Linked DNA regions of Ovis aries. The protein of the gene in region 4 interacts with the protein of the main gene of each other region in a pairwise test. Links are inferred from orthologs where the notes say so. Each region holds a gene or a part of one and is shown on either strand. Other genes may lie near its edges.

Region 1 (3,649 bases), on a different chromosome or scaffold from region 4:
AGTCAGACACGACTGAGCGATTGAATTGAACTGAACCGAACTGAGGGCTCCTCTTGACATTACACCTTCTACAGATTTGGATAAACCTAGACTTCCCAGATGGCCCCAGTGGTAAAGAGTCCACCTGCCAACAGAGGACGCAGGAGACACAGGTTCTGTCCCCTCAGTTGGGAAGATACTCTGGAGGAGAGCATAGCAACCTACTCCAGTATTCTTGCCTGGAGAACTCCATGGACAGAGGAGACTGGCAGGCTATGGTCCATGGGGTCGGAAAGAGTCTGACAGGACTGAAGGGAATCATTCAGGGTAGGCTTTTGTCTATTTAAACCGAAGCCCATATTCTTAACTATAATGTTACAGAGGCTCCCAAGGTACCATGCTGCCTCGTTAACAAAAGGGCAAAAGGAAAAACAATTGGCACAGTAGCATTCTTACAAACAAACTCACGGTAAACATCCTGGTAATGTTTAATCAAAGCGCATTTACACGATATACGACAATTAGTACAGTGCTTGACCATACAGATTCCCTGTTCTTTTCGTCACAGTCCTGTTTAAGGTGTTTGGGCACTGCAGTTACCTCACTAAGAATCTGGGCTCTGAGGTCAAACATGTTTAAACACTAGCCCTTAAGTTCACTGACTTCACAAGCTCGGGTAAATTAACGTCTTAGCTGCCTAACCTACGAAAAGTGGTAACAATGCCTACCTCACAGAGCAGGTGTGAGGCTCGTGTGCCACGAGCCCGCCTGCACAGAAAGCACACACAATAAACGTTTGCCATCTTGTTTTATGCATGATGAAACAGAGCTCCAGGAGTTAGAGCAGTGGCCACAAAGTAAGGCGTGGTGCCCTGTTTCCGACTCCGGGGGCTTTCTCTTTATCCCTTCCATCACCCCAAAGGCGTAGGATATTGTTTTTCAACAGACAAGTTTCTCCCCAATCCCCAACTCTGGGTTCAGCTGAAGGTCCGTCTTCTCTAACCCAGCACCTCAAGGTGGTCGAAGGGGGCAAAGAAATGGCCTCAGGCGGTTCCTAACGTGGGCTGCACAAACCCAGCCTCCGCCCTCCCTCCCGCAAAAACTACGTCACAAGCCCCCTGCGAATGTTCACTGGGCACCTGTTCCGGCCGGAACCCCACCTCCACGCCCTGGGAGAACGACCTCAACCCCAATTGGCTGTCTCCCGGGGCAACCAAGGATGCGGTGGGCACGCGGGGCCCCTGGCCGGTATTTAAAGGCTGCTGCGGCCCACGCCACCCCAGTCCGGCCCGGACGGCGACGGTGAAGCACCTGGGTTGAGAGGGAGCAGGAAGGTAACGGCGCGACCCCTGCCTCCCCCCGGCCCCAGCCCGCGCATCCACTGAGGCGGGTGTGAGTGGGACCCAGGAGCGGGTGTCACCGCGCGTTGCCCACCAACACCTTCCTCACCCACCATCCTTACCCAGCCCCACTCCCACCCAACCCGCCTGGGCGAGACAACTCGGGTGCGAAGGATCAGAGATTAGGCGGAGAGCGACTGAGCGAACAGAGAGGCGGGGATCCTTCTGGAGACAAAGGCGAGATCCCAGCGGCGGGCACGTGGTGCTGGGCAGAGAGAGAAACGAGGCGCTTGAGACCATCAGATCTGTCCAAACGCGACGACAGCTTCTAGGGCGCTACCGTGTCGACCTCTCGGAGCACCCTGAACCATGACCCAGACCCTCGACACAAAAGAGGATCCTCTTAACCTGGGCGGCGGCTGGGCATCCTCTGCCCCGTTACGCACCTGGTCGTCCGGCCCCCGAAGGCGCAGGGGCGCTCCCATTTACAGGCGGCGGCCTCGCTACGGCCCCAAGGCCGAATACGAGCCCCCGAGGAACCAGCCGAAGCAGCAGTACGGTCCAGGCCCTTGGTTCCAACCACCCCGGCGTCCCTACTGGGCCGTGTATTCTAGCTGGGGGCGCTGGAGAGGGCCCTGGTGCCCACCGCCGGCGGGATTCAGGAAGCCCCCGGGCCGGGTGCAGGTGATCCGGGTGTGCGGCCTGCACCCGCTCTGCATTTGCTGCTGCTCTTGCTGCCACGGGCCCTGGAACCCCGGCTGGGCGAGGCCCCCGGGCAGAAAGAAGCGCTGGGGTCGCCGGGGCCGCGGCCTGCGCCGTCACCCTCGCCGCTCCGCCCGGAGGAGCCCTCCGGTGGATCTGAGCACGCTGCTGCGGCCGGTCAACCTGTACGGGTGGCGCGCCCCCGGCATGCGGGCGCCGCGCAACACCACGCAGTTCATCATGAACCAGATCTACGAGGACATGCGGCAGCAGGAGAAGCTAGAGCGCCAGCAGGAGGCGCTGCGGGCGCAGCAGGCCCAGGCGGGGGGCACAGCCTCCCCGGAGGGCGCCTTCGGAAACGACGCGCCCCCTAGCGGTGGCCAGGAAGACGGGGCGCTGCAAGATACTCTGTACAGCTTTGTGGAGAATCCCTCTCTCGTCTTCAGTCCTGACCCAGACGAAGAAAAGCAGCCGGCCACCTCACAGCTGATGGAGGAAGAGGAAGGGGAGAGAGAAGAGGGGGAGGAGTGGTGTGACGAGGAGGAGTGTGATGGCAAGGAGTTGGAGAGCCAGGAGGAGGACGAAGAGTCAGAGGCCAAAGATGAGGAGGAGGGCGAAGAGGCTGATTATATGGAGGAGGGGGAGGAGGAAGACGAGGAGAATGAAGCGGAGGAGACCGCAGAGGAAGAAGAGGGGCTGGTGGAGGATGAGCAGATGGAGGAAGAGAATCATTTGCCCCTGGAAATGCCTTTATCATTCCTAGTGGGGGCTGAAGAAGAGAGAGAGAACTTTATGAACTGTACGTGTTTAAGCCCCAAACAGAGAATTCCCAAAGTGGCACAGGAAGCGCTCTTCATGGTGCAGGACATTAACTGTTGAGACATCAGGAAAGGGATTGAGAAATGCGATGGAACTGATTGGAGGCTAAAATGAATTAGCCACTTGTCAAAAACTAATGAAAAAGTGAGTTCCATTAATAAACCTATCATCTTTGGCTGTTATAAAACGTTTAAAAATTGGTGTGTGTGTGTGTGTATGACTATGGGTGGGGGGAGGTAGAGCTTTCAAATATAATTTAACTGGAAATGATTAAAGGCCAAAAATTTTATTACTACAGTTTGAATATTTTCATTTGGTGTTTTCTCCTCTAGATATTTGAGGTTTTTTGTTTTTTAATTCTGGCAATGCTGAAAATGTTTCCTTTTATAACAACTTTATACATCATCTCTACTTAATGAGCTTGGAATGAACAGTTATTTTGACTGTTAGATGCCTAAGAAGCATGTGCCATGTTTATTAAATGTTCGTCAGTACTTTTAACATGATAGCTGAAACCATTTAAAAATGCCTATTTTAATATTTTTTTTCTTATAGATTTTCCACCTTCAGAGTTCATTTTTGAGGGCTGTATTTTGGTAACCCAGTTTGCAGTCTCTTGTGGCATCGCTCATTTATATTCCTTGTTCCACAGTGCTATGGATCTTCCTCAGAAGAACATGAAGTTGCTTCTGTGGAACTGGTTATCTGCCATGGCCTCAGCAATCCATAAATCCATGCATGGAGAGGATTCCCCATGGTCAGAAGTCAACTTGCACACCTAGTTAAAATCTAAGGTAACTGCAAACAAT
Region 2 (4,027 bases), on a different chromosome or scaffold from region 4:
TGGAGTCGTCTTTGGGGATGTGGAGAGATTGATGCTGTGGACTCTGACCTTGAGGGTCCCAGTTGGCCTCCAGGGGTCACAGCTCTGAGTACCCATGACTCCTCCCTGCTTCCCCTGTTAGGACATCACCCCGCTGCAGGTGGTTCTACCCAACACTGCCCTCCATCTTAAGGCGCTGCTGGATTTTGAGGATAAGAACGGACAGAAGGTAGTAGCAGGGGATGAGTGGCTATTTGAAGGACCTGGTGAGTGTTTTCCTGTCCAGCCGGGTTTGGGGTCAGAGGCTTCCTGCCTTCTCATTAGGGCCCTGATATCTTCTGACCTTCAAACCCCACCTCCCCCATCTTCCCTTCCCAGGCACATATATCCCCCAGAAGGAGGTGGAAGTCATCGAGATCATTCAGGCCACGGTCATCAAGCAGAACCAGGCCCTGAGGCTGAGGGCTCGCAAGGAATGCTTAGACAGGGATGGCAAGGAGCGGGTGACAGGTGGAGTCTTGAAGTGTTCACAGGGCTAAGGGCGGGCTGATCCTTGACTGCGGGGGTAAGTGGGGGAGGTTGGGGGCTGGCCACCTGTAGCCTGGAGGAAGTGCTTCCCTGGTATCTCTTGTCAGCTGTTGGGGGCTGCCACATGCTACTTCCCCCACTAACCTGGCCCGGATCCTGTTGACATGGCTTTCCCTTCCTCCGACTCTGTCGTGAGCTGGGTCTGTCTCTAGACCAACAAAGCAGGTGTTTATATTGTTGCTGTGCCTGTGCGTGCTCAGTCCTGACTCTTTGCGACCCCACGGACTGTAGCCCGACAGGCACCTCAGTCCGTGGGATTGTTCCAGGCAAGAATACTGGAGTGGGTTGCCATTTCCTCCTCCAGGGGATCTGCCCGACCCAGGGATTGAACCCAGGTCTCCAGCACTGCAGGCAGATTCTTTACCTCTTGAGCCATTGAGACTTCCTGTGTCTATATGCAACTAGCAATTGTTTGACAGACCTGTTGTGTTAAACAAAGTCTTAACAAAGGCTATGCTTACTGAGCCAGGTGTGGTTCAAATGTTTTACAGACCGCAATTCCCTTAGGTCTTCCTGCAACCCTGAGGCACCACAGCTCCCGTTTTCCAGATGATGAAACTGAGGCCTGGGTTTATGGCCAGAAAGAGCCAGGCTGGAACTTGTGCCTAGCACTCTTGCTTCTCCAGTAGGCTGAACGACCTCTAAGCTGTAATGTGGCAGTTCTGCCCATTTTGTGTTTGTCGCCCAGTTGTGCCCGACTCTTTGTAACCCCTTGGACTGTAGCCTGCCAGGCTCCTCTGTCCATGGAATACTCTAGGCAAGAACACTGGAGTAGGTAGCCATTCCCTTCTCCTGGGGACCTTCCTGATCCAGGGATGGAACCTGGGTCTCCTGAATTGCAGGTGGATTCTTTACTCTCTGAGCCACCAGGGAAGCCCTTCTGCCCGTTTTAGGGGAAGAAAAAAAGGCTGATCTCTGGAGCTTAGAGAAGGCCTACAGGGTACTCCCATAGCAACAATTTGGATGCTTGGAAGGCCCTTTTTTTTTTTTTTAATCTCTCTGAGGTAGGGGTTGCTTTTCCTCTGGCCTCAAAAAAGGAAAAGGACTCTGTCAGGCCCTTGAGCCTGGGAGCAATGACCTCAAAGTGGCGTGTGAAGCCCTGCAGGTACTCTTTATCTAGGCTGCGGGAAGGGGCAGCTGGGGAGCAGGCTGGGTGACTTTTGACCTTTGCCTCTCCTCCCCGGCCCAGGAGAGGAATGGCTGGTCCGCTCCGTGGGTGCGTATCTCCCAGCAGTGTTTGAGGAGGTTCTGGATGTGGTGGATGCTGTGATCCTTACGGAAAAGGTCTGTATTCTGGGGGACCCTGGGTGGGAGATTCTCGGAGGGGCAAAGAACTGTGGGAGAAAATAAGATCACCTGAGGAGTATCCTGGGTCACTGGAAAGGGTTTAAGAAATCCTCCTGGGTTGGTAGACAGTGACTCAGACCTGGAGCATTTGGTGACCAGTGGGGTTCCCAGATCCCCCAAGGAAGTTAGTCGGAGTTAGGTTTACTGAAACCCCCCTACCCCTTGACATCTTGCTCTCCAGACAGCCCTGCACCTTCGAGCTCGGCAGAACTTCCGAGACGTGAGAGGGGTGAGCCGCCGCACTGGGGAGGAGTGGCTGGTGACTGTGCAGGACACGGAGGCCCACGTGCCAGATGTCTACGAGGAGGTGATGGGGGTTGTGTCCGTCACCACCTTGGGCCCCCACAACTACTGTGTGATTCTCGACCCAGTCGGACCAGACGGCAAGAACCAGCTGGGGCAAAAGCTTGTGTTCAAGGTAAGTGCCTGCCCCTCACCCAGAGGGGAATGGCCTGAGGCCCTGGACCCTTGTCCCTTCCCTCCTCCCACCCCAGGTAGACATTCTAGAAACATCAAGCTGGTTTCGGCTCCCTCTGTGCACACTTGTCTCTCTCTTGAGAATACAGTGTCACTGATCTTCCTGGCAATCCCTGACCTCAGGTTACCCACAGTCTTTCCTGGGAGCGCCTCCCTGACCCTGGTGAACGCAGACCCAGAAACTCTCTCTCATATTTCACGTCTCTCTCTTCTGGAAGCTTTGTCATCCTGCGTCAGACAAATCTCTTGGTTTACCCTTCTCCCCATCCTCTGCCTCAGCCCTTCTCTGAACTATGTGGGACTACCAGAGCTGGGCTGGCCTCTCCTATGACAGTCACAGATATTTGGGGCTTTGTGAGGGGCATGGTCTCTGTTGTGCTCAGTTTTGCTGTTGTGCCATGAAAGCAGTGTAGATTGTCTTTTTTTTATCAGAGGATAGTTGCTTTACAATATTGTGTGGCGTAGACATCTTGTAAGTGAACCAGTGCTGCTGTGTTCCTGTAACATTTTATTTGCAAAAACAGGCAGAAAGAATAGAAACAATTCAAATATCCATCAGTTGATGCATAACTGAAAAATATGGTATATCCATTCAGTGGCATGTCAATCAAAAGGATAAGATAATCTTTCTGGGGTGGCGGACATTCGTGTTCTTGAGAGAATTCAAAAAGGTAAAAATCAAAACTGAGGTTCTAATATGTCCTACAACATGGATAAACTTGAAAGCATTATACTAGGCAACAGAAGCCAGGCATAAAAAGACCACTTATTGTATGATTTCCATTTATATGAAATGTCCCAAGTAGGTAGACCCACGTATAGTGGTTGGGGTGGGGATAGGCAGTAACTACTACTGGATCCAGGGTTTCTTTTCAGGATGATAATGTTCCGGGATCAGGGAGTCGTGTTGTTGGGCAACTCTGGATATACCAACGCAACTGAATTGTATACTTTAAATATCTGTATTTTATAATATGGGCTTCCCAGGTGGCACTAGTGGTAAAGAATCCACCTGTCAGTGCAGGAGATGTAGGAGAAATGGGTTCAGTCCCTGGGCTGGGAAGATCCCGTGGAGAAGGGCATGGCAACCCACTCCAATATTCTTGCCTAGAGAATTCCATGGACAAAGGAGCCTGGCAGGCTACAGTCCATACAGTTGCAGAGTCAGCCATGACTGAAGAGACTTAGCACATGGGCATATGTTTTATAATATGTGGGTTTTATCTCAAATATATATTTATATTGTATTAAAAAATAGCAGGCCAGATTTGGTCCAAAGGTCAGAGATCGGAAACTCTGTACTATACCACCCTAAGGGAATAAAGTGTGAGAGAAATAAGGCAATAATAGGTTAATTCTTAACTATTGAGCTTGTGAGAACCCAGACCTTGACACTTCACAGAATCTTTCCAGGGCAGGTTTGACCACATCTACAGGCATTTGTGAAGAGTCTCAGTCTAAATAAATGATTTTCTGTATGAAGGGGAGGTGGGTAGGAACTTGGGCAGGGGGCTGCTGGGGCTTCTGTCCTCAGCAGAAGCCCATGATCACCCAGGGCTGAGGGAGGAACCATCAGAGGGCTCCACAGTCCTGGGAGGTGACGGCTCCTGACTCCACTTCTCCCTACCAGGGAGAG
Region 3 (4,726 bases), on a different chromosome or scaffold from region 4:
CACCTGTGCAGCCCCTTCCTCCTCCCCCATTCCTGTCTTACCCTCTCTCCCTTCCTCCTCCCTCTCCTTTCTTTCCAATTCTGTCTTAACATTTGGAGTTTATTCTGGCGGACATGTCTTTTTCCAATGATTATTCTGTGTTCAATGTTTTTGTAGCGATTTGAGACATCACCTTTATCATATGACAAATTTCCAAAAACTTTTGACTTTTAAATTTGCTGTTTGGGGATTTTCTATTCTGTTGCATAGCAGTGTGTTTCTCTCCAGTCAGGAAAGAAACTACACAATAAGTTCAACAGGAGAAGTCTACTATAAGAATTCCCAACTGTGATGGGAGATTAAGTGTAAGATGTAAGAAACTCTATAAAGCACCCAAGAGCCGAGGTAGAGTACCCAAGGAAGGACAAACCGGCGGGGTGGGGGTGTTCAGACCTCCTTGGAAAAGATAGTTTGGCCACTAAAATGTCCACTGGTTTTCCCAGACAAAAGTGGTCTGGAGTTGCAGGTGGGGAGCAGGCAGTCAGCATTTGGTGGTGTGGGCATGCCCTGGAAATCCAGTTGCCTGCCAGAGCGGAAGGCCTTCAGAGCATGCAGGTGCTGGTGATGAAGCTTGCACAAGGGACAAATTCTCTAACTCCTCAGGCCGTAGTCTGAATAGGTCATTGCAGAAAGGTTCTTGCCATGCCAGGGCTGCATGTTTGCAGTGGGATCTCGTTCTGGTCGCACAGGCTCCACTGGCTGTTCTCACCCACCATGTCAGCCTCTGCCCCTGCCAGAAATCACAGCGGCCTCTTCCTCCTGCAGTCCCTGCAGCGCCCTCTACTGAGAAAGCTTAGCACTGGGCTCAGTTTAAATGCTTAAAGGAATTCTATTTCCATAGAACATACACTACATATATTGAAGAGTGCATTAGAAGGTGAGAGGCAATAAATTGATCCTTGACAGGTGCATTGGCCTATGTATTCCTTTTTTTTATCATTGGCTATTCATGATATATTTGAAGATCTGTTAATGCTAGTCATGCTTACTGATCTACCCTTTGAGGTAGGTTTTTAAAATTTTTCTGTAAGAATTTAAAAATGAATTTATCTACTTCTAGGGGGAAAAAAACTGGTTGGCATTTTTACTTAATCGTATATTTTTTAAGTTTGTTTGTTTTTTCTCCAGAGATTGAACCCAGGCCACAGCACTGAGAGCCCAAAGTCATAACCACTAGGCTAGCAGGGAACTCCCTGTGTTTTTTAATTTTTAAAAGTATTTTATATTAAATTCTCATGGTAGAAAATTCTTATAGTTAACAACAAAAGCTTTATGGAAGTGAATGAAGGGAGAGAATGAATTCCATGCCTTTTATTCCTACCCCTCTGAGGTTGTGTGTATATTTTTCAGGATGTATTTCTGGGTCCATATAAGTGTGTGTGTGTAATAAAAATGTGTCAACCTTTTTCACAGTATGCTTGTACCTGTAACTTAGAAATGTCTTTTCTTTTTTCTTTACAGCCATACCTGTCCATGACTCTGAGAACATTATAATGTTCTTTTGTGCTTCTCACAAGGGGTTTTCCTAGCTGTTACCTACTCAAGACATGGATGTCAAAAACTCACCATCTAGCCTTAACTCTCCTGTCTCCTATAACTGCGGTCAATCCATTCTACCCCTGGAGCCAGGCCCCATATATTTACCCTCTTCCTATGTAGAGAGCCGCCATGAATACTCAGCCGTGACATTCTATAGCCCTGCTGTGATGAATTACAGTATTCCCAATAACTCAGAAGATGGGCCTGGTCGACAGACCACAAGCCCAAATGTATTGTGGCCAACTCCTGGACACCTCTCTCCTTTAGCCATCCATTGCCAGTCGTCACTTCTGTATGCAGAACCTCAAAAGAGTCCTTGGTGTGAAACCAGATCATTAGAACACACCTTCCCTGTGAACAGGTAAATCCAGTCTTCATTCTGAATTATATTATGGCCGATATTCAGATTGCTTTATGACTTAGTGAGAAGAAAGATATGTGTTATACAAGGTCTTCATTATCACATAGAGCACCTAGAACATCTGATGTTCTGAATTCTAGGATATCTATTCTGATATTCTAGTCCTTACTAAAAAGTTGAGCTTTTAGATCTGTGTTGTGGGGGAGAATTCACTTCATGACTATCTTTGGAAAATATTTAATTTAAATCACTTTCTTCTTGATGAAGTGATTTGAGTTTGAAAAAGGAATTTTTATTTTCAAGTTAGAGCCTTCCTATCTTGAAGTGAAATCACAACTTAGTGTTCATGACAAATTATGTCCAAGATAAAAGTAACCATTGGTATTACAACTCGATGAAATGCTAGACAGGTGAAAAGACAAACAGTGGTACAAATTTTTAAACAGTGAACTAAATAACATTTTATAAAGATTGACAGGAAACTAATGTGGACTTTAGTTGAACATTCTGAAACTCTAAGTGCAAGGTAACATCAGGGATTATTTGCATTCAATTTGTTATACGTACACACACGTATATATTTTGTGCTATGTGGCTGTGGGATCTTACTTCCCCAACCAGGGATTGAACTCGGATAGTTTTAATGATAATCATGGCTACAGAGGGCAGAGTTAGTATAGGCAGAAGCATGAGGGGGCATAACTTTACACAAGAACCCAAGTACTAAGTTATGGCATATTTGGTATTGAAGTTTATTACTTTCAAATTCATAAAACTTTGAGAAAGCCATATTACACACTAATTTTATTTTTCTTCTTTTTTAAAGAACTTTTTGATTGGTAAAAGAGAATATGAAAAATGTAGATGACTTTTTAAAAGTAATGTCTTCACATTCAACTTTTAAAGGAAGAAATATCTTATTTCTGAGGACAAGTTCTAATCAGAGCTCTGCTAATATTTGGGTACATTAAACCTCAGCATATTAAATTTATACATCAATCATACCTCTGCCATGTCCTTTCCAAAGGAAACATGCTGTAGCAAAATTAGGAACTAGCCCGGTGTGTTCTTGGTGTCTGCCGGTGGCCCACTGTGGGTTCCCCCTTCCTCTGTGGTAAGCCTCTCCACCCTGCATTGAACACCTGCTTTCTTCAGAGCCTTCTCAAGGGACAGGCATGTGTTTATGCTCTCCCCCTCTCCTCTTCTCTTCTCCTTCGCTTTCCCCTTTTCGCTACTGCTCCCACCCAGACTTGATGTAGTCACTGATTACAGAGATGTACACATTGATGGCTATAGCTAGTTCTCCATGGTAATCGGTGTTCATCCACACTGTGTGGATGGGTGTAAACTCACCTATCCACTTTCAGACACCAGCGATCCCAACAGAGCGACTCTTAATAGATCTGATATCAGTAACAAAGGTTTTGCTTGATCAGATCTCTTGGAATATATTTGTTATGAAGCCTGGAGGGCAAAGAGATACACGAGGCAATGTTCATGCTGTTCCTTTTTCTAGAAAGGCCTTGTTTTACCGTCAATGTTCTTTTACAGTGAATGTTCTCTTTGCCCCTAGGGAGACATTGAAAAGGAAAGCTAGTGGGAGCAGTTGTGCCAGCCCTGTTTCTAGTCCGAGTTCAAAGAGGGATGCCCACTTCTGTGCTGTCTGCAGCGATTATGCGTCGGGATATCACTATGGAGTCTGGTCATGTGAAGGATGTAAGGCCTTTTTTAAAAGAAGCATTCAAGGTACAAGAATGTTGTTAGCTGCTTTTTTTGTTTTCCACTTTGCTTTTAAACAATGTTGCGGATGACCTGGCAGAAATTTTACCTTTGTTTGGCCTGCTTGGTACACAGAGTACTTGGTGACTGTTTCAGAGGATCATGTGTCTTTGGGGGTGGGGGGATTGTTTCAAGTATAGAGTACTTTATCTTTCACTCAGATCTCTACCCCCAAACCCAAATGGATCTTGCACCACCATCACCTGTTGCCGTCTTCCTAGGAGGAAACATAACCTTTGTGAAGGCTGGAAAAAATGTGTGCCCATTAGGAACTGTGAAGATTGTTTCTTCCTTTGACTTATGTTTAATATCTAGCATATGTAACAGTTGAGATGGTGGGCTGGCTCCTGAGGAAGAGAGAATATGTTTTATGCAGTCAGTAGCTCAACTAGTGGAACCTCCTTTACATTCCTATTTTCTGGTCTGAGTTTAGACTGTTTCCCTTTCCTTCTCCAAATTTCTGCTAGGCTGGCTTTTTGTTTCTGTGATTTTGTTAAATCATCTCTTTAATCAATTTCAAATTGTACGCACCTGGTTTCAAGGCCAGTCAGCCCCTTGCCACACGTTTCCTTGCCAGGCCTAATTGCTGCAGGCACTTTCTTGCTTTCCTGTGCTCTTAGCTGTCTCTCTACCCCCATAACTCCTCCCTTGTCAGCCCTCCTTCCAGGCAGTGTCCTGTGTTCCCATCTCAGAGCTCCCTTCCCTTTTCTGCCAAAGCCTTGTTCTTAACCGGTTAAGGAAAGCTACATTAAAGCAATTCATAGTGTGTAAGTGGCAAAGTGGCAAACAGCAATTTACTGAGTTAACTCACCCAGTGAAACTCTAGGTTGACAGCATTTTACCTCAAGCAGAGAAGCTGATGTAATCTAGAGGGAGATGAGGGGTAGAATGTTAGTAGATAAGGAATCACCTTCCTCTGAGTCCCTGGGAAATTCACCCTTCATAGATGAGGCCCTGTTTGTCCTCAACCCTCCACTTAGTAGCTCTGTGACTTGATGTCCTGGCCTG
Region 4 (4,027 bases):
TAAGAATTTGGTAGTTCCTAAATTCTCTAAGAAATACCCTAAGTATATTATTTTTTAAGAAAAATTAAGCCCTTACAATATATTTGGGGAAGTCATCACCTACTATAAATGATATTAAGCACACTTGAAAAATGTTTTTATTTGTAGTAAAAAGCTCTTTAAATGGATGAAAAGGTCTTAATATTTCTTAGGCCCTTTCTGGAAGGAACATTTTTTTCTAATTTTATACGGATTCCAGTGTAAGTCAATTTTGCTTGACTTGAATTTGCCCACATTAAAAATAAACACGTTTCAGTAGTTGTTAAGAATATACTAACTTTAATTTTATACCTAGAAGTGATACAAACAGTTATTAACTATTAATAAATGTTGATAACTGATTATATACATTCTTTTAAAACATACAAACACTGATGTTAATTTGTTTGGCTTAATAACATGGTTACAGCTCTTTTTTTTTTTACTATAATAGATAGATCAGCTATTGATTCATCAGCAAATGGAACTTCTGGAAGGTATGTATTCATTGTATTTATCATATTTCTAGGAAGAGAGGACATTTATGCAGATAAAAGCGTATCATGAAACACAGATATAACACCTTCAGGGATGTTGAAATTAAACCTGGCTTTAAAAATGTCTCTGTGATAATGATAATCCTGATAAGGATTATCAGCAGCTCAGTTTTTGAAATTAATAGTCAAGTGCTAAAATACCATTAAGCTGGACATCTGTCCTCATGATACAGACCATGACTTGGGAGGAAACCAATCAAAACTTACTTTTGTTCAGTCTTCTCTCTAGAAATCACTTCAGTGATTCTATCACTAACCCACCCTAACCTCTATCTCTTCAACTTTTTTTTCCCCAGTTTGTGATGAGCTTGAGATTGTCAAAGAGTCACAAGCAGTAGTTCAGTTACCTTACTACATTTCCAAAGTAAATGAACTCTGAATTTGGGTGGATGGGGATGTTTTGGAAAACCTCATTATTGTCCATGGTTTTTCTTGGGAGTTCAGATGAACCCTATAAAACCTTTGTTCCACGGGCTATGAATTATCACCTTGGGCACAGGGCCACTTCACTGAAGGAGGCTGACCAGTCAGCCAAAACACCTGACTTCCTAGAATATCACTGCTGTTCCTATCAGTGGGGCCTGACTCCTACAGTTGTTTCCTTTGGTCCAGGGCTCCTCAGGTGCAAAGTAAACTTAAGAAAGCCAGTAGATGTTTTAGGACTGCTGCCAGGGAAAGAGAACCTGGGTAAATTCATGAACCAATGTATTTTCCTTATAGACAATTCAGTGAAAACTCTAATAGATTTTAGAATATATCTATTAAATCTTTCTTCACATCTCTGCAAAGTTCTTTACCACTGATAGGAATAATAAAGTGAATTGTACTACTATAGTAATATGGTTAATATTTGGTTAGAATATATAATTGCTTATTCTACTTAAATTACTTGTGATGTTCACTGTTAGAAATTTAATGTCCTCTTTTTTGGGGTGGGAGGGGGGCACAGTCCTGCTGCCCAGCTTGTGTGATCTCAGTTCCCTGACCAGGGATTGAACCCACCCACTCGGCAGTTAGAGCATGAAGTCCTAACAACTAGAGCACCAGGGAATTCTCTGTGGGGAGTTTTATTTATTTATTTATTTATTTATTGTCTGGTCACGCCTCTCAGCAAGGGGGATCTAAGTTACCCAACCAGGGATCAAACCCACACCCTTTGAATTGGAAGTGTAGTCTTAACCACTGGACCACCAGGGAGTCTCATCATGTTCTCATTTTTATTAGTTTGTTTATACTATATTTTCTCTGGAAAGGAGTATGGTAATTTGAATTTCCAGTTTTTTTTAATGATTCATTTTAGAGTTTATTTTTGATATTATAAAAACCAAAAAATCAGACACTGTACATTATATAGCACTCCATTTATAGTTTTCAGATTTATAAGTTTTGCATATATTAAAAAAATATATATGTATTAGTCATGAAATACAAAGTAAATTTCAAATTTAATAATTATAAATTCTTCAGTTTTTACAAAGGATATCTAATTTTCTTATTTTTGTCTTAAATTGCAAGTTTATATTTTAACATTATAAATAGTATAGAGAAAAGATTACTCAGTTTATTTTTTAGCACCTGAGACGTGTCCCAGTTCAAAACTTAAGAGATAATAAAGACAAAACCATAGAATTCTTTTATTTGTTTTCATTTTTTAAGTAACTAGAAAGAAACAGATTGTGTAAGCTCACTTATCTCACTTTACAGATAAACAAGCTGAAGAATTTTGAGATTAGTTTACTTAAGAAGCACTTAGGTAATAGATCCCATTTCATGATTACTTTAACTTTTTTTACATAAAATATTTGACAGGTGGATATTGAGGTAAAGGGTGGCTCTTTTAAAGGCAGAGTCAGGGTCTGCCTAAGTCATAGCAAAGACACCTAAGGGAGGTCATGGTGATGAAACTTGTGAAGAACATTTTTATCTAAATCCATCCACACCAATATTAAAGACTGATTTTTGTCCCTCTGTTTTTTCATTGCTCAATATTTTGATGACTTCTAATACCCTATGACTCGTGTTAATGAGGGCTGTGGACAAGAATGTGCGTGTGTGCTCAGTTGCTCAGTTGTGTGCCACTCTTTGCAACCCCAGGGATGGGAAGAGTGGGATTCCTCTGTCTATGGGATTTTCCCAGCAAGCATACTGCAGTAGGGTGCCATTTCCTGCTCTAGGTGATCTTCCTGACCCAGGGATTGAACCCCCATCTCTTGCCTCTCCTGCATTGGTAGGCACTTTACCTCTGTGCCGCCTGTGTGGCACAGAGACACAAGAAGCCCTTGTGTCTCATATAGAAATTCCAAATTTCTCTGTACGCTAATACCCTCTCCTCCATCCCCTCCACTTTTTTTCTATATTTAGATCATTTCTAAACACCTTTCCTTTTCTTCCTCCTGTGTTAAATGAAGTACCATCTAAAAATGGTACAGCTAGACACTATAGCATCTTAGGATAGACTGATTATTCTTTTAATGCTGTAGACATAATGAGTCCCTCTTTTTATATTTTTAGTCCTAATAGGTTTTGAAACTAATAACAGATATGAAATTAAGAACAGCCTTGGACAGAGGATTTACTTTGCAGCAGAGGATACTGATTGTTGCACTCGAAATTGCTGTGGGCCTGCTAGGCCTTTTACCATGAAGATTCTTGATAATATGGGTCGAGAAGTCATAACTCTGGAAAGACCACTACGGTGTGCCAGCTGCTGTTTTCCCTGCTGCCTGCAAGAGGTGGGTGAGCGATTAACACGGTAATTTTTACAAATACTTTGCAAAGTAGTTCTGTAGGAATTTTTACCTTATCAGTGAATTTATATAATAAAATGAGATTTAAAGGTGAAGTGGTTCACCAGCTATTAGTTTATCCTTGAGAGTAAATTGTAGGAAGGCAGGCAGGTGGAAAGGAGTGATCAGTTTGGCCAACATTCCTGAGCAGTGTGTCCTCTGGGGTGAGATCAGAGATCTCAGAGACCAGACTTCTTGGTCTTCAGGGAGAGCTGAGAATGTAGGGTGCCTGGTTCAAGGACCTTACCTGAAATGACCATGAGCGCTTGACCAAAGCCAGATGAGGGCCCCATAGGGAATATCCTCAAATGCCATCCCAGTAGCAAGTGGACAGAAGAGTGAGAAAAAGAATACATATGTTCATCTCATAATTTTAGCCAACCTACAGGGAGCTAAGGAGGGCTTCCCAGGTAACACTAGCCGTAAAGAACCCTCCTGCCAATGGAGGTAGATGTAAGTGACATAGGTTTGGTCCCTGAATTCGGAAGATACCCTGAAGGGAGAGCATAGCAACCCACACCAGTATTCTTGCCTGGAGAATCCCGTGGAGAGAGGAACCTGGTGGGCTGCAGTCCACAGAGTCACAAAGAGTCTGACACAACTGAAACGACTTAGCACAGGTGGCTTAGTGGTAAAGAATCTGCCTACCAGTGGAAGAGACCCAAG
Region 5 (4,027 bases), on a different chromosome or scaffold from region 4:
AGACAGTGGCTCAGTGAGGGAGGAGAGGTCCCAAGAGGAGACAGTCTGTGTCAGTCTGCTGGGGGGGTGGGTCCTGACTCTGTTGGGAAGGCCTCCCAGCCAGAGGAGGAGGCAGCTGACCTCACCATCTCTCTGGGGCTCGGAGGGCAGGGCAGCAGAGGACAGACTCACCTTCGGGGATGGCGTCCTCCTGGTACACAGGCCGCAGCAGCTGCAAAGGAAAGACAGAAAACCCCTCAGCCCAGCCACGGGGCAGACAACCAGGCAGGCTGCTCAGCCCTGGCCTGGGGATAGCAGGGAAGCCCCTCAGGGCATGAGGGCAAGACTGCCATCCTGCTAAGAAACCAAGAGGGGGCTTGTAGGGAACACAGGCTCTAGAATCCTCCAGAATGTTGGAGTATAGTGAGGCTTTAGCTGTCATCGAGTTTAACTCCTTGGCTGGATCCCCATTTCCTTGATGGCAACTTGTTCCAAAGCATGTGCTGTGGAACACTGGCCCTAGGGACCTAACAACTCTGCTACAAAGGGGGACACCATCAGGGGAGTTTGGGAACCACTCGGGCGAACAAGGGTGAACCACCTTCTTCGCTGCAGGTGCCCTCAGAGCCTCAAGCAGGTGAACACGCACTGGGAATCTGCTCCAAGAGGAAGAGAGCAGGAGGTGTTTCTCAAGCTTACTTGACCTCAGGACACATTTTACCCAGAGTATCTCAGGGGAACCGTGTCTTGGGATACACACACACCATCACCCCACCTCACCATCTTGAAGTTCCTTCGACAGGCGCTCGCTCACCGCCCACCACGTGGCCCATTCTGCTATGGAAAAGCGCCGTCTGGCAGAAGGCGCTGCTTCCTTCTTTTGAGGTGAAATCTTCCACCCCATGACATCCCCTGGTCCTGAATCTATACCTTGAGACCACAAAGATCCAGCTGCTCCCTCTGCCCAGGACAGCTTGACAGGACGGCCCTTTGGAGTGACCGCTTACCCCACATCCCTGCTCCCTATGCCGAGCCCCTGGGAGGCTCCTCCCAACACAGCTGAGTCTTTGCCTCTTCCCGGCTTCACTCAGGGACCCCAGCCCTTCACCTTCCCGGAATGGCGGTCCATACCTGGCTCCCAGGGTTCAGTGGGGCCAGGATGATGTAGTTGGGGTCAGTGGGGGCCGTGGCGCGGGACAGCGCGGGCAGGGTGTGCTGGCTCCCACGCTTGGTCAGCTCGGTGTAGCGCTCCCAGCCGCCGAGCAGCAGCCCATCCGAGCTGTCACACACCAGGTGGCAGCTGTGGCGCTGCTCCGGCCGGGCCTGGGCCCCGTGGGTACAGTTCTTCTCCCGCTTATTGGGGGGTGACAGGAGGTCGAGGGTCGACTTGCAGGAGGCCCGTCGCAGGACCCCTCCATCTGGCCCTGGCTTGACCTGGGGGACCATGCGCCATACAAGCAGGACGATCTCGCTGGGGCAGCTCCTGGAAGTGGCGGGGAGAGGGGATCACAAAGAGACGTTGAGTCTGCTGCTGCTGCTGCTAAGTTGCTTCAGTCGTGTCCAACTCTGTGCGACCCCATAGATGGCAGCCCACCAGGCTCCTCCATCCCTGGGATTCTCCAGGCAAGAACACTGGAGTGGGTTGCCATTTCCTTCTCCAATGCATGCGTGCATGCTGAGTCGCTTCAGTCATGACCAACTCTGTGCGACCCCATTGACAGCAGCCCACCAGGCTCCTCTGCCCACAGGATTCTCCAGGCAAAAATACTGGAGTGTGTTGCCATTTCCTTCTCTGGAAGTTGGGTCTGGGGGAGACCAAAGTCAGGCAGGGTAGGGGCCTGCGGGGGCAGAAAGGAAGAGAGTGGAAGGGGACAGGGGCAGCCCCCGGTGCTAGAACAGGAAAGGATGCAGAGGCCAGCTAAAGCAGAGACAGCAAAGGGGTCCCTGAGGTCAATTCGAGTTGACTGGCAAGGGCTGGGAAGGGCATTGGTAATAAAGAAAGAAGACCAGATTCAACTAGTGAGGTTCCTCCTGAACACAAAGTACAAGCAAGCAAGCCACCTGTGTAAACCCCTCACCCAGTCATTCTAGAAGCAAACCTAAAATGGGGCTGTAACTCAGAGGGTCAAAATTGAGGGGTCCCATACATTTAGGGACTTCCCTGGTGGCTCAGACGGTAAAGCGTCTGTCTACAATGCGGGAGACCCGGGTTCGAGCCCTGGGTTGGGAAGATCCCCTGGAGAAGGAAATGGCAACCCTGGAAAATCCCATGGACAGAGGAGCCTGGTGGGCTACAGTCTACAGGGTCGCAAAGAGTCGGACACGACTGAGCGACTTCATTTCACTTCACTTCACTTCATACATTTTAAGTCTTCCCTGGTGTCAGAAGGTAAAGACTCTGCCTGCAATGGGTTGCCTGAATTCTAGTATTCTTGCATGGAGAATCCCATGGACTGGCAGGCTACAGTCCATGCGGTCGCACAGAGTCAGACACGACTGACCCACTAACACTATGTACCACTATGTACCACTATGTACCACTATGTACCAGGATACATTTTAAAGAATAACTGTTTAGTTATACAACTGAAAACACTCTGCAACATCTACCCAGCCTAGAAAACAGAAGGCTTAGCTCTGAGGTAGCAGAACTAATGAGCTCAAGGAGAAAGCGACCCCCTGGAGCCACGCCATGAACCACAGGGTGTGTCTGAGAGCTTCTTCTCCCACTGTTTGCTCTGGGATTCAAATTTGCTCGGAGCCTGAACCTTCCAGTTTCAGGCCAAGTAACTGATTTCCTGAGGAGCAAAGCAAATGGCTCGCAGATGTGAAGGAGGGACAGGCCAGGCGTGTGCCCAGGGCTGGGGAGGGGAGGGGAGGTGCGAGGCAGCCCCAAGCCCCAGGCCGCCCGCCGCGCCGGTCACCGGATCTCGTGAGCCAGCTCCACGCATTTCCAGTGCTCCACGGGCCTCTCGTTCAGCCGCAGTACCGTGTCCAGCTGCTGCAGCCCTGCCTGCTCAGCTGGGCCCCCTGCAGGGACAAATAAAACTCCTTGGAGCCCACAACCCCCTCAGAGGGCCTGGGGGTCCTTTGCCTCCACAGTGACCTTGGACAAGGACCGCTCCCCTCTGTTTCTTCATCTGTGCATGAGGGCCTGACCTTGGAGGTGCTCAGGAAGGATCTTGAAGGAGGTTCCCCTTTGCCTTCCTTTCCTCCCTGCCCGCAGACCCAGTACTGGCTGATCTCTCTGCTGCCAACCTCACCACCAGGCCCCCTCCCTCCCCAGGAACTCTCACCCTTCAAGAACCCTTCCTTGCTGCCAGGCCCCCAGATCGCCACGTCCCAGCTTCTCCTCTTAGGATGCTCACTCTGTGACTAGGAGAAGTCTTTTCTTTGTGAAAAGTAGAGAGGAAATGACTATTTTAAAGGGCTCATCAGGCTGGACTAGGATAAAATACTGATTCCAAATCAAGTTCATAAACGATTCTTATTTTCCCATGCAGCCATTGCTGAAAATATAGGTTTAGTTCCTGTTTGAAATGACTGGGAAACAAAATATAAAAGCCTATCTTCACTTTGATTAAAAACAAAACAAAAAAAGAGTAGGTGTATTTTCATAGACCTCACTTTCATCTATGGTCATTTAAAAATATTATTCTTTTCATTTTGAAAGGCCAGGACTCTTCAATCCGGGTTGGGGTTTCCCTTTCAGTTCCAACATCTTGTTTGCTAAGCATGGGGCTGCCATCACCCAAGATGCTCACTCACCGGAATCCACGGCCTGGACTCGGACCGGAGAGTCACAGCAGATGGTGAAGCCAAAGCCGTCCTTCCCCCGCGGGATGGTGATCTAGGACACAGCCCTGCCCGGTTAATCCCAGAAGCCGGGAGGCTGTGCCTCTGCTCCAAGGTCGGGAAGCCCACGGGCCCCACCCCAGAGCCACCTTCCTCTCCAAGGTTTCTGGAGCCAAGAAGGAGGCTGGCCGGCCCCTCGCCGGCCCTATCTCTGCCCAGGCATCTCGAGCACTGGGTTGTGGGCCAAGTAGGA
Region 6 (4,600 bases), on a different chromosome or scaffold from region 4:
AGGGACACTGCCTGGGACACAGAGAGCAGGAGGCTCCAAAGGAAGAGCCACTGAAGGCAGGAGAGGAACACAGGTCAGGCCCCCACTCCACAGGCCCCGCTGTATCTAGAACTCGGGAGCTTTGGCCCATGGGCAGAGACCATGGAGGAAGTACTGATACTTCACCAAGTACTGCTTCCTCTTCTCCTCACCCGTGCAGCTGGACTACTTTACCACTTCTTACCAAAATGAAAAATGATTTTTAAAATCAAAATATTCAATGATTAAAAGGATAAAGTGAGACAACACTTTTATATCCCACTGGTAAAAGTTCAGTTGGAAACTTTCAGAAATTTCTTGTACCACTTTCAAGGATCCATCCTACAGCAATCATTAAAGAGACAAAGATGTATGTATATGACTACTTCCCCAGTATTTTACACAGCAAATAACTGTAAAAATCTATTATTCAACAACATAGTTTTCTTAACAGTCATAAAATATTATAAAGTCATTAAAAGTCATATCTCAAAGAACATTTAATAACGTGGGAAAATACAAAGAGTACATTTTTTAAAAATTAAAATAGGTTACAAAACTTTTTAACAGTAAGTGTCAACGTAAGGAAAAAGAAAAAGTACACATATACAGGTTAAATTCCATCATTACTAATGTGGCTTTGAAGAGTAATTTAACTTCCACATCTGTGAAACAGCAATAATACCCTGAGAGGTTGGGAAGACCAAACAAAAATATGTAAGCCCCTTAAAAACGTTAAAGAATGGCATTAATGTTCTTTTAAATTATCCACATTTTTCTCATTTTTAGATGCTTAGCTTCTACTTTCCAATTAAGTGAACACCCAAGATCACGAGGATATAAGCCTGAAACACACACAGACGCTGCCACCCGCTCCGGATGGCCCACTGCTCTCTCCATTGTCATGGACAGCTCAAGGCACAGGGTGCACTGTTAAAGGAAAAACCTTCACAGAAGATGAGGTTCAAATCCTAAGTGCTGCTGCTAAGTCGCTTCAGTCGTGTCCGACTCTGTGCGACTCCATAGACGGCAGAATCCCCCGTCCCTGGCATTCTCCAGGCAAGAACACTGGAGTGGGTTGCCATTTCCTTCTCCAATGCATGAAAGTGAAAAGTGAAAGGGAAGTCACTCAGTCCTGTGGACTCTTAGCGACCCCATGGACCGCAGCCCACCAGGCTCCTCCCTTCATGGGAGTTTTCAGGCAAGAGTACTGGAGTGGCGTGCCACTGCCTTCTCAAATCCTAACTCCTGTGCTTTTAAACAATATGATGAACCTCGGTTCTTTGTCAGTAAAACAGTTAGTGGCCAGTAAATTGCTGTCTCTGTTCCTTCAGATGTTCTGCTCCTGAAGTTATTCCTGTGCAGATAACACTGACTACCACGTATTAAAATCGTGTAGTATTAGACTATATTAGTTAAACATTTTACAAATGGGCAAAACCTTAATTACTCTGCAAATGGGTATTAATATTCCCACTGTACAGACTAACGGGTTTCAGTAACATATAAACATGTGATGACTTAGGCAAAAAACATTTTCAATTCACATGAAATTTTAAAATTGAGAAGCGATGATCTGTCAAACAGACGCTAAATGGCATTAACAAGTACTACTTCATGTTCTGAAATGCTGCCATTTCCACCAAAAGGAGCAGAGATCTGTTCCTTCCCCAGATGCCAAGCACCATTTCCCACGTGCCCATCTAAAGGAATCATTTCAGTGTTAATACCTTTTGGATGCGTTCTTGCCACTGCTCTGTACCTGGGTCATTTCACCTACAGGCCAGTGGCAAGAACGCATCCAAACGGTATTAACACTGAAATTTTAACCGACTGTGACGTCTTAAGGACTTTAACGTTTAAAAAAAAATGAAACATAGACTCAAAAACGCCAAACACACCAACAGCAAAATAGTCTTCATCCTCATCGGGAGAGGGTGACCACGGTTCTGTTTGCTTCGGGTTTCTGTCCTCATGACGTCAGGCGCTGTTTACTTAAGATGGGTAAACTGAGCGTTTATTAAGGACAGATCCACACAAGCCCGGCTCCTTCCAAAGGCCGCCTCCGGGCCGCATCCCTTTTCATCAATGAGTCAACGTCATTCCCCACGCACCCGCCTCCCGGGGACCACCTCTTTCACCAATTTTCCAAGTGAACCTGAAACGCCGAAGGAGCTGTTCTGATGAACACTTCTCGGCACCGCGGCGAGGAAGACAGGGACTCTCCCCTCTCACCCGCACCCCCACTCCCCCGCCCTCGCCCCCTGCCACGCTCCCAAGGAGCTCCCCAGCTGCCTCCAACTCAAACTCGGGGCCGCATTCAGGTCCACACGCCCCACCGCCCTGAGCTCCGCGCAGGCTCTCTGCCCCCGGAGCCTCCGAGAGCGCTCCCGCCCGCCGGCCACGCGCCGCCCACGGCCCTGACCCCTCTCACCGCAGGGGACACGGAGGCCTGGGCAGGGCGCGAGCGCAGGGGAGGCCCAGCGCTGGCAGGCGGCTGAGCGCGGGGCGGGTGCCCGGGCGAGGGCTCGACTTAGCCGAGGCGGAGAGACCGCCCGGAGGCCCCGCGCGCCCGCCGGCGCCGACCCGCAGGCTGGGGGGCGGGGGACGGCGTTTCCGGGTACCCGCCAAACGGGCCCACCGCAGCCCGCGGGTCTCCTTCCGACGCCTGCCCCCGGGGCGACAGGCAGGCGGGCCAAACCAGAACCCACGGCGCGCTCGGCCCGGCCACGAGCGCCCTCAGACGCCAACTGCCGGCCCCGCTCGGCCTCCCTGCAGCGTCCGCCCGGGACGACGCGGCGAGGGGCCGGGGTCTCCGCGCCCACCCTCGGCCCGGTGCTGGGTCCCCGCGTCCCCGCTCCCCGGGACCGCGGGCCTGGCGCCGCGGGGCGCCCGGAGCCTCGAGCCCCGGGTCTGCGGTGGACCCGCTCCCGCACCGGGGCGGGGACCCGGGCTCGGGGGCCGGGCCGCCCAGGCTGGGCCGCGCGCGAGGGAGCCAGGCAGTGCGCCCGTGAGGCCGGCTCCCGCCGCGTCCCCTCGCCCCTGCCGCCCGCCGCCTCGCTTACTTGGCTCTGAGGCGCAGCAGTTCCTCAAACTGCCCAGCTGAGCCGACCTCCACCACCGCCGCCGCTGCCTCAGCCGCCCCCGCCGCCATGCTGCCGCCGCCAGACAAGAGCAATCGAGCGCGGGCGGCCGATGGGGGCGGAGCGCGGGCGGTGGCGCAGGAAGCCCCGCCCCCGGCCGTCCCGGCGGCGCCGCCCCCTACCCCGCCCCGCCCCCCAGGGCCGAGTGCCAGCCCAGAGCCGGTTGAACATCCTGGGGCTGCTGCGTCCGGCCGGCCAATTAGGACCCTGGCCGCCCGGGCTCTGGACTCTCAGGAATCCTGACCTCCTGAGCTCCTGAAGTCAGGGCTTCCTGCGATCCTAGAAGCTCCTAAAGCAGCTGGGAGAAGGGTGTACGCGTGTGTTTGTGTGTGTGTGTGAGACGTGAGTGTGTATTTGAGTGAGTGAAGGCGCTCAGTCGTGTCCGACTCTGCGATCCAATGGACTGCAGCCCGCCAGGTTCCTCTGTCCATGGGATTCTCCATGGCAAGAATACTGGAGTGGGTTGCCATTTCCTTCTCCAGGGTATCTTCCCTACCTGGGTCTCCCACACTGCAGGCAGACTCTCTACCATCTGAGCCACCAGGGAAGCGTGTATTTAACAAGCTGAAATTTTAATCCAAAAGGTAGGGATGGAAGAATGGGAGATCAGGGGAAGGGAGGTTGCGCCCTCCCCGAACCTCAACGCTGACAAGGAGTTTCGAATTCGGCCCTGAAGAACCCGAAGCCACGTCAGCACATGGCCCACCATCACCCACTGTGAGATCAGGCCCGGCTCCGCGCCCCGCGCCCCTCTAACCTCAGGCCTCCCCCGGATCCCCTCGGCACCTCCTGATGCTGACGCTCCAGGCAGTGTCTCCTCCCACCTTTCCACCACTGCACTCCTCTCCAGCCTGCGTGACCTTGTCCATGGTCCCGGCACCCTCCATCGCCAGGGAAACCTCCCGCAGAGCGCCCTCCCCTGCCTCCGGTGCCCATGGCTGGGGGAGGGCCGGGGGTGGGGCGGGGGTGGTCTCTTTAAGGTTCCCCCCGGACCAGCCCCGGCCTTGTCTCCAAAGCGCCCCTCCTCCTGGATCCTAGGTTCACTACCGCCATTGCTTCCACCCAGACACGTGGGGCTCCTCCTGGGCTCATCTGGCTCTGTACCGGGTTGGAGGACAGGCCCCGCGGAGCCGCCCTCAGGTGTTCAGGGCTCCTGCGCGCCTTGGACTGCGGGCACACCTCACCGTGTTAGAAGCGTCTGTGGTCTCGCATCAAGGGCGGGAGCTGTGTCTCCATCCCAGAGCCTGAATGAGAGCCCGGCACGTCGTAGGTGCTATGAACCATGTTCTCTACTTGGGGCCGGGGGGAGAGGGGGGGGCGAAGTGGACTTACCGAGTTTCAGAGACTCATTATCAAAAGAAGTTCATGCAGGGTATCCAGTGAATAACCTTTACAGTGATTGCATGTCGAAATATACTGGGTTGTGTGAAATATATTAT
Region 7 (4,703 bases), on a different chromosome or scaffold from region 4:
TCCCAGCGATAAGAGGGCTGCCTCATCTGCTCCCTTGTCAGGGGCATCCTTGGCATCAAAACCCACCGGCCACTCTCTTGCAGAAAAAAATAAAGAAAACGGCTCCGCCTGCAATGTCTTTCGCTCCATCTCTCCAACAGCAAACTCCTACTCATCCTTTGAAGCCCAGCTCAAAGCACCCCTCGCCCCCATCATTATGGAGCCTACCCTATCTAATGAGTAGCGCTTGGCCAGTTTTCTAGGCAGGTGGTCTGAGCTGGGGGAGGAGGGATCCTCCTCTCACTCACGGCCAAGTTCTCAGGGTGCTCCTAGCACACAACTCGTGCTTTGTATGTGTTCGTTGAAAAGAAAGACACTAGCTTTGTTCCAGGTCCCGCTCAAGGATTTGAATGAGCCCTGCCCTTTGCTGGACCTGGGCATCTGGCTGGGGAGATCGGGTTGAGTCCAAGAAGTCAGGCTGGTGTCAGCCTTGCGGCACTGCTATCCTCCTGCACCCTCACCATCACCCCCCTCCCCCCGGGGTACTTTAACAAGAGTAAGAGGCTTGCCCTTGGACAAACTGAACTGGGACCTGAATGCTGCAGAGCTCAATCTCTTTATCTATAAAATGGAGCTGTGCACCCTCAGACCCCGCCTACCTCTCCAGGAAACCGGAAGGACAGAATGGAAAGATAGGGACCGGAATGATTCTTCCGGGTCATGGACAGTTGGGCGGGGGTCCCGGGTGTGGGTGAGACTCAGCTTTGTGACTTTAGGAGATGTACCCAAATTCCTTGGGCCTCAGTTTCCCCTTCTGTAAAAACAAAGAGTGTTGGATGAGGGCTGATTAAAAGAGTCTTCGCAACCTCGACCGTTACTCGGCGGGGGGGGGGGCGGGCCTCTCGGCCTGGGCGCTACGTTCAGGGCCTCCCATCCACAGCCCACCGGTCTCGGCTCCCTCCCCCGCGGGCCGGGCCACGTGTCCGGGGTACTCACTGCGGAGCGCGCCCCCCGCCCCCCGAAGGCCGAGTGGGGCCCTCGGCTGGCAGTCGGTACCCTAGCTTCCCGCCGAGGCCCGAGCGCCTCGAGCCCATTCTGCTCGCCCTCCGGCGCGTGACCCCGGCCGACCGGTCGGCACGCCACCCCCTCCTCCGCCGCCCGCCGATTAGTCAGCAGTTGTTTAAGGCCCGGGTCCCTTCCCCCTAGTGTTCCCGCCGGCCCCCGTTTTCCTCCAAGGTAGTCTCTTCAGAGACGGTCCCTAGAACCAGCGGGCGTAACCATTCCCCAAACGACCCGGCGTCGACCAAAGAATCACTCCGGCTCGTCACCGAGATCCGCTCACCCGCCGCGCCCGCCCCCGCGGTGTTTTTCGGGCCGCTCATCACATCCGGGGCTCTTTAGAGAGAATTAGGACTAGAGAGGCGGGCGCGAAGGACGGGAAGCGGCGGCTCATTCCGCCGTCCCCCTCCCCCGTGGCGGGGGCCCGATGGTAGCGCCTGAGGTTGCGGGTCCCGCGCCTGCGCAGTGCGGCGTCTAGAGGACCAGCGAGAGGGAGACGGACGTTGAGAGAACGAGAAGGAAGGAGAGAAAATGGCGTCCACGGGTGAGTGTGGTGGGACTGCGGTCGCGCCGGCGACGGCAGGGACGCCCAGATTGGGGGCCGCTCGTCCTTGGGGATGGCAGGGACGACTGAGTGGGCTTTCCCGAGAAGGGTGTGAGGTACCCGCCGCGGTCCGAGAAGCTCGATGGCCGGCGTCTCCCTCCGCTCCTTCCCCTCCCCCCACCGGGCAGGCCGGCTCTGGAACCTTCCGGCGCCCCCGGCGCGCGGGGGGCTGGAGGCGGCGGGGGCGCGCGGGGCCTGCCTTGGCCTCCATTGTGTGGCGGCGGTCGGGCCCCGAGATCCGGGCCGCTCGCCACGTGGGCGGGGCCTGAGGCTTCGGGGCCCCGCGTGGGGTGGGGGGGAGAGTTCGGCCAGGCCTCGGGCCCGGCACCCCGAAACTGGAGGTGGGGCGGGCGGCGGCTCGAGGAGCGGCAGGCCCGCGTCTTTCTGACTGTCCTCACCACAACTCCATTTCCAGGCCCGCAGCCTGGGCCCAAGGCCGACGCTGCCTCTCCGGGAAGCCCGGGGTGAGGGGGGGAGAGCAAATAAACAAAAAAAGGCTTCGCGGACTTGTGAGCCGAGGGGCGCCGACCTGTGAGCCGGAGCCCCGTCGTCCTTAGAGCCGGGTCGGCTGGCACGTCGTCCAGGGCTGCCGAATTGCTCCCCTCGGCGGGTTCCAGCCCCCACGCCGAACTTCTGCCCGACTGGGCTTTAAACGGAGCGCCCCCGCCCCACGCTCCGCTTTACAACTACCCAGTCAGCTGCTGCTTAAAGTTGTTTTTTTAAACCATTATTAGTCCTTCTTTCCGCCACAAAAAGCAATTAGGCGGCTTCCCAGGGCCATTTTTCATCAAACGCGGAGGGAGGCCTGTTGTATAATGAGGCCAACCCTGTTCGCAAGGCCAGGAATCCACCACCGAAAGACATTTCTTGGCCTTTTTGATTTAGGAGAAACAAAAGGCCTCGGTCGGCGTTTGAATTATGCTTAAGTAATCGTCTCGTACGTTTATTCGCTTAGGTTAAGCCGAGAGAGGCTAGTTTATTTCGTGGTCTGACAGAAGAGAGCGGAAGGAGGCGCGGACTGGACTTTGAAAGAAAGCCTGGGGTGGGATCTGGAATTTGGTGTGTGGGGTGGTCCTTACCGCCCCGGGGTGTGTGAGAGAGTAGCCTAAACGGAGCTGCAGTTTGCAGTCCGTGCACTAACTGCGGTTGTGGATCGGGTGGGGAGATTTTTGCCTCTGGGGTTCTCCTTAGGCAGCCTGACTCCAGGCCTTGGAGGCAGTTAGAGGAGAGGGAAGATGGGAAAAGCTTTGGGTCCTTCCGAGTTTTAATCCGAAAAGGGTCCAGAATCAAGCAAGGGCAAGACAGCTTTGTGGTCTGTACACAAGCAGGTGGTAGATGCTGGCTGTTAGTGCCAGGGTACAGAGTGCCCCTGGAGGAAAGGACTCTGAAACAACCACAGTCCAAGACACCTTCCGGTGGGGAATGGTTTCCTCAGAGCCCTTTCCTCCTCCCTCTTCCCTGCAGTGTTAGGATTTTGCAAGGGGGAGTGCTGCTCTCCCTTCGCCGTGAAAGTTTGGGGAGTACACGTGTGTGTATTTAAGTGTGTGTGTGTGTGTGGACATGCCAGTTTTTCGTTCTCCTTCGCTCCAGCTCTGTGGCCTGGTGACCGCTGCGTACTGTATTAGAATTGCAGTTGTGGTTTATGTAGACATGCAGCAGGTCTGACGGGGGTCCTTTGAGGGACTCCTTAACTTATCTGGGCTTCAGTGTCCTGTCCTTCAAGATGACCGGCTTAGGCTAGACGTTTGAAGAGCTTTTTGAACCCTTAGTTTCTGATGTTACAGCTCTCACGGCGTTGTCCTGAAGTGACTTTCTTTAACTTATGATGTAGTCTGAAGCTCTAACTCTCAACAGTTCCAATCGTGACTGCCTGAAGTTTCTAAAAGCCACCACATTGGGCAATATTCTTAGCTTTTCTTCCTCCTTATTTGGCATATTTAGAAAAGTACCTAAAGTATATGTCCACTTTAGCAAAGAAACTTCCAAGTAACCACCGTGCAGACCAAGAAATAGAATATTGCTAGCACTCTGGGTTGGGAATATCCCCAAGAGGAGAACGTGGCAACCCACTGCAGTAATCTTGGCTGGAGAATCCCATGGACAGAGGAGCCTGGTGGGCTACAGTCCAAAGGGGCGCAGAGTCTAACACGACTGAAGCGACTTGGCAGAGCACTCTGGAGGCCCCCACCCATAGCCCCCTTTCTCCTCAACTTGTCCTGTGTTTTATTGTAGTCTTCAGCTACATGTTTGGGAGTTATAACAAAAAATAACTGCTAAATAATCTGACCAGTGTGTAACTATAGATTTTTGAGGCCATATAAAGGTTTTTACGCTGTAGGAAGATAAAAGTTCTCGTGAAGCACATTTACTACCTCCCCTAGCCCAACAGTGTGGGGCTAAATAAATCAGCTGGTTTCCCATTGATGTGAGATCATTCGTTGTTCCTCATCAGCTTTGCCAGTTGTATGTTTTACATAACTGTTGTTGTGTAAAAGTTCTCCTGCAAACATTGAACTTACATGTCAGTGATATGGAACCATTCCTCACACACAAGCCTCAGTACAATGTAGGTTGAAATATTTGATTTTTGGTGTTTCATTGGTATGTTTATTTTTTAACTAAAACGTGAAAGAGGTGATTTGAATTTTTATATGTCACATACAGAGCTGAGATTGTCTTGAACAAATCGATTTACTCATTATACATAGCCTTTGGTGGTTGATTTGATAATGTTGATGATTCAGGGTTCTGAGTTAAGGGTGTAGAGGAAGGAAAGTGGTCAAGTTATGTGTAGAGGTGAAAAATGAGCCAAGTTAAAGAGATGGATTCAGCAGAATGCTCTAGGGGCAGGCCAGGTGAACTGTGAATCAGGCTTCTGTTGGAGTGAGGTTAGAAACCCCCTCTGTGAAGAGCTGTCAGCTTTTGCTTTCAGATAAGGCACTGCTTTCTGATTGGAAAGGAAGGGCCCTTTGGTCTGCCTTAATGGCGGTACGGTCTTCTGACGTATTAATAGAATAAGACAGTAGTTCTTAGGGAGAGCAGAGAATTGGGCAGGATTTTT

Evidence for each region.
Region 1: the proteins of phospholipid scramblase 2 (region 4) and CCER1 interact in a two-hybrid assay, tested with the Homo sapiens proteins (2 studies listed by BioGRID and IntAct). The two-hybrid records come from large-scale screens. The link is inferred for Ovis aries from reciprocal best matches to the Homo sapiens genes PLSCR1 and CCER1.
Region 2: the proteins of phospholipid scramblase 2 (region 4) and MVP interact in a two-hybrid assay, tested with the Homo sapiens proteins (2 studies listed by BioGRID and IntAct). The link is inferred for Ovis aries from reciprocal best matches to the Homo sapiens genes PLSCR1 and MVP.
Region 3: the proteins of phospholipid scramblase 2 (region 4) and ESR2 interact in binary tests that used the Homo sapiens proteins (3 or more experiments, as listed by UniProt). The link is inferred for Ovis aries from reciprocal best matches to the Homo sapiens genes PLSCR1 and ESR2.
Region 5: the proteins of phospholipid scramblase 2 (region 4) and RGS3 interact in binary tests that used the Homo sapiens proteins (3 or more experiments, as listed by UniProt). The two-hybrid records come from large-scale screens. The link is inferred for Ovis aries from reciprocal best matches to the Homo sapiens genes PLSCR1 and RGS3.
Region 6: the proteins of phospholipid scramblase 2 (region 4) and GLRX3 interact in binary tests that used the Homo sapiens proteins (3 or more experiments, as listed by UniProt). The two-hybrid records come from large-scale screens. The link is inferred for Ovis aries from reciprocal best matches to the Homo sapiens genes PLSCR1 and GLRX3.
Region 7: the proteins of phospholipid scramblase 2 (region 4) and EWSR1 interact in binary tests that used the Homo sapiens proteins (3 or more experiments, as listed by UniProt). The two-hybrid records come from large-scale screens. The link is inferred for Ovis aries from reciprocal best matches to the Homo sapiens genes PLSCR1 and EWSR1.

The regions. Positions count from the first base shown.
Region 1 is NC_056056.1:127,369,389-127,373,037, reverse strand, and holds CCER1 (coiled-coil domain-containing glutamate-rich protein 1), read left to right. Parts: upstream 1-1,688; coding exon 1,689-2,900; 3' UTR 2,901-2,964; downstream 2,965-3,649. UniProt on the Homo sapiens protein: Regulator of histone epigenetic modifications and chromatin compaction into the sperm head, required for histone-to-protamine (HTP) transition.
Region 2 is NC_056077.1:26,923,322-26,927,348, reverse strand, and holds part of MVP (major vault protein), read left to right. Parts: intron 1-121; coding exon 122-245; intron 246-357; coding exon 358-489; intron 490-1,756; coding exon 1,757-1,851; intron 1,852-2,095; coding exon 2,096-2,332; intron 2,333-4,021; coding exon 4,022-4,027. UniProt on the Homo sapiens protein: Required for normal vault structure. Vaults are multi-subunit structures that may act as scaffolds for proteins involved in signal transduction. Vaults may also play a role in nucleo-cytoplasmic transport.
Region 3 is NC_056060.1:74,529,370-74,534,095, reverse strand, and holds the start of ESR2 (estrogen receptor beta), read left to right. Parts: upstream 1-1,586; coding exon 1,587-1,939; intron 1,940-3,512; coding exon 3,513-3,685; intron 3,686-4,726.
Region 4 is NC_056054.1:242,587,075-242,591,101, forward strand, and holds part of phospholipid scramblase 2, read left to right. Parts: intron 1-472; coding exon 473-515; intron 516-3,086; coding exon 3,087-3,307; intron 3,308-4,027. UniProt on the Homo sapiens protein: Catalyzes calcium-induced ATP-independent rapid bidirectional and non-specific movement of phospholipids (lipid scrambling or lipid flip-flop) between the inner and outer leaflet of the plasma membrane resulting in collapse of the phospholipid asymmetry which leads to phosphatidylserine externalization on the cell surface.
Region 5 is NC_056055.1:10,225,596-10,229,622, forward strand, and holds part of RGS3 (regulator of G-protein signaling 3), read right to left. Parts: intron 3,830-4,027; coding exon 3,748-3,829; intron 3,010-3,747; coding exon 2,904-3,009; intron 1,463-2,903; coding exon 1,111-1,462; intron 212-1,110; coding exon 172-211; intron 1-171. UniProt on the Homo sapiens protein: Down-regulates signaling from heterotrimeric G-proteins by increasing the GTPase activity of the alpha subunits, thereby driving them into their inactive GDP-bound form.
Region 6 is NC_056075.1:48,898,988-48,903,587, reverse strand, and holds the start of GLRX3 (glutaredoxin-3), read right to left. Parts: upstream 3,189-4,600; 5' UTR 3,173-3,188; coding exon 3,084-3,172; exon of another isoform or gene 1,920-3,083; intron 1-1,919. UniProt on the Homo sapiens protein: Together with BOLA2, acts as a cytosolic iron-sulfur (Fe-S) cluster assembly factor that facilitates [2Fe-2S] cluster insertion into a subset of cytosolic proteins.
Region 7 is NC_056070.1:68,562,588-68,567,290, forward strand, and holds the start of EWSR1 (RNA-binding protein EWS), read left to right. Parts: upstream 1-1,514; 5' UTR 1,515-1,569; coding exon 1,570-1,582; intron 1,583-2,171; exon of another isoform or gene 2,172-2,266; intron 2,267-4,703. UniProt on the Homo sapiens protein: Binds to ssRNA containing the consensus sequence 5'-AGGUAA-3'. Might normally function as a transcriptional repressor. EWS-fusion-proteins (EFPS) may play a role in the tumorigenic process.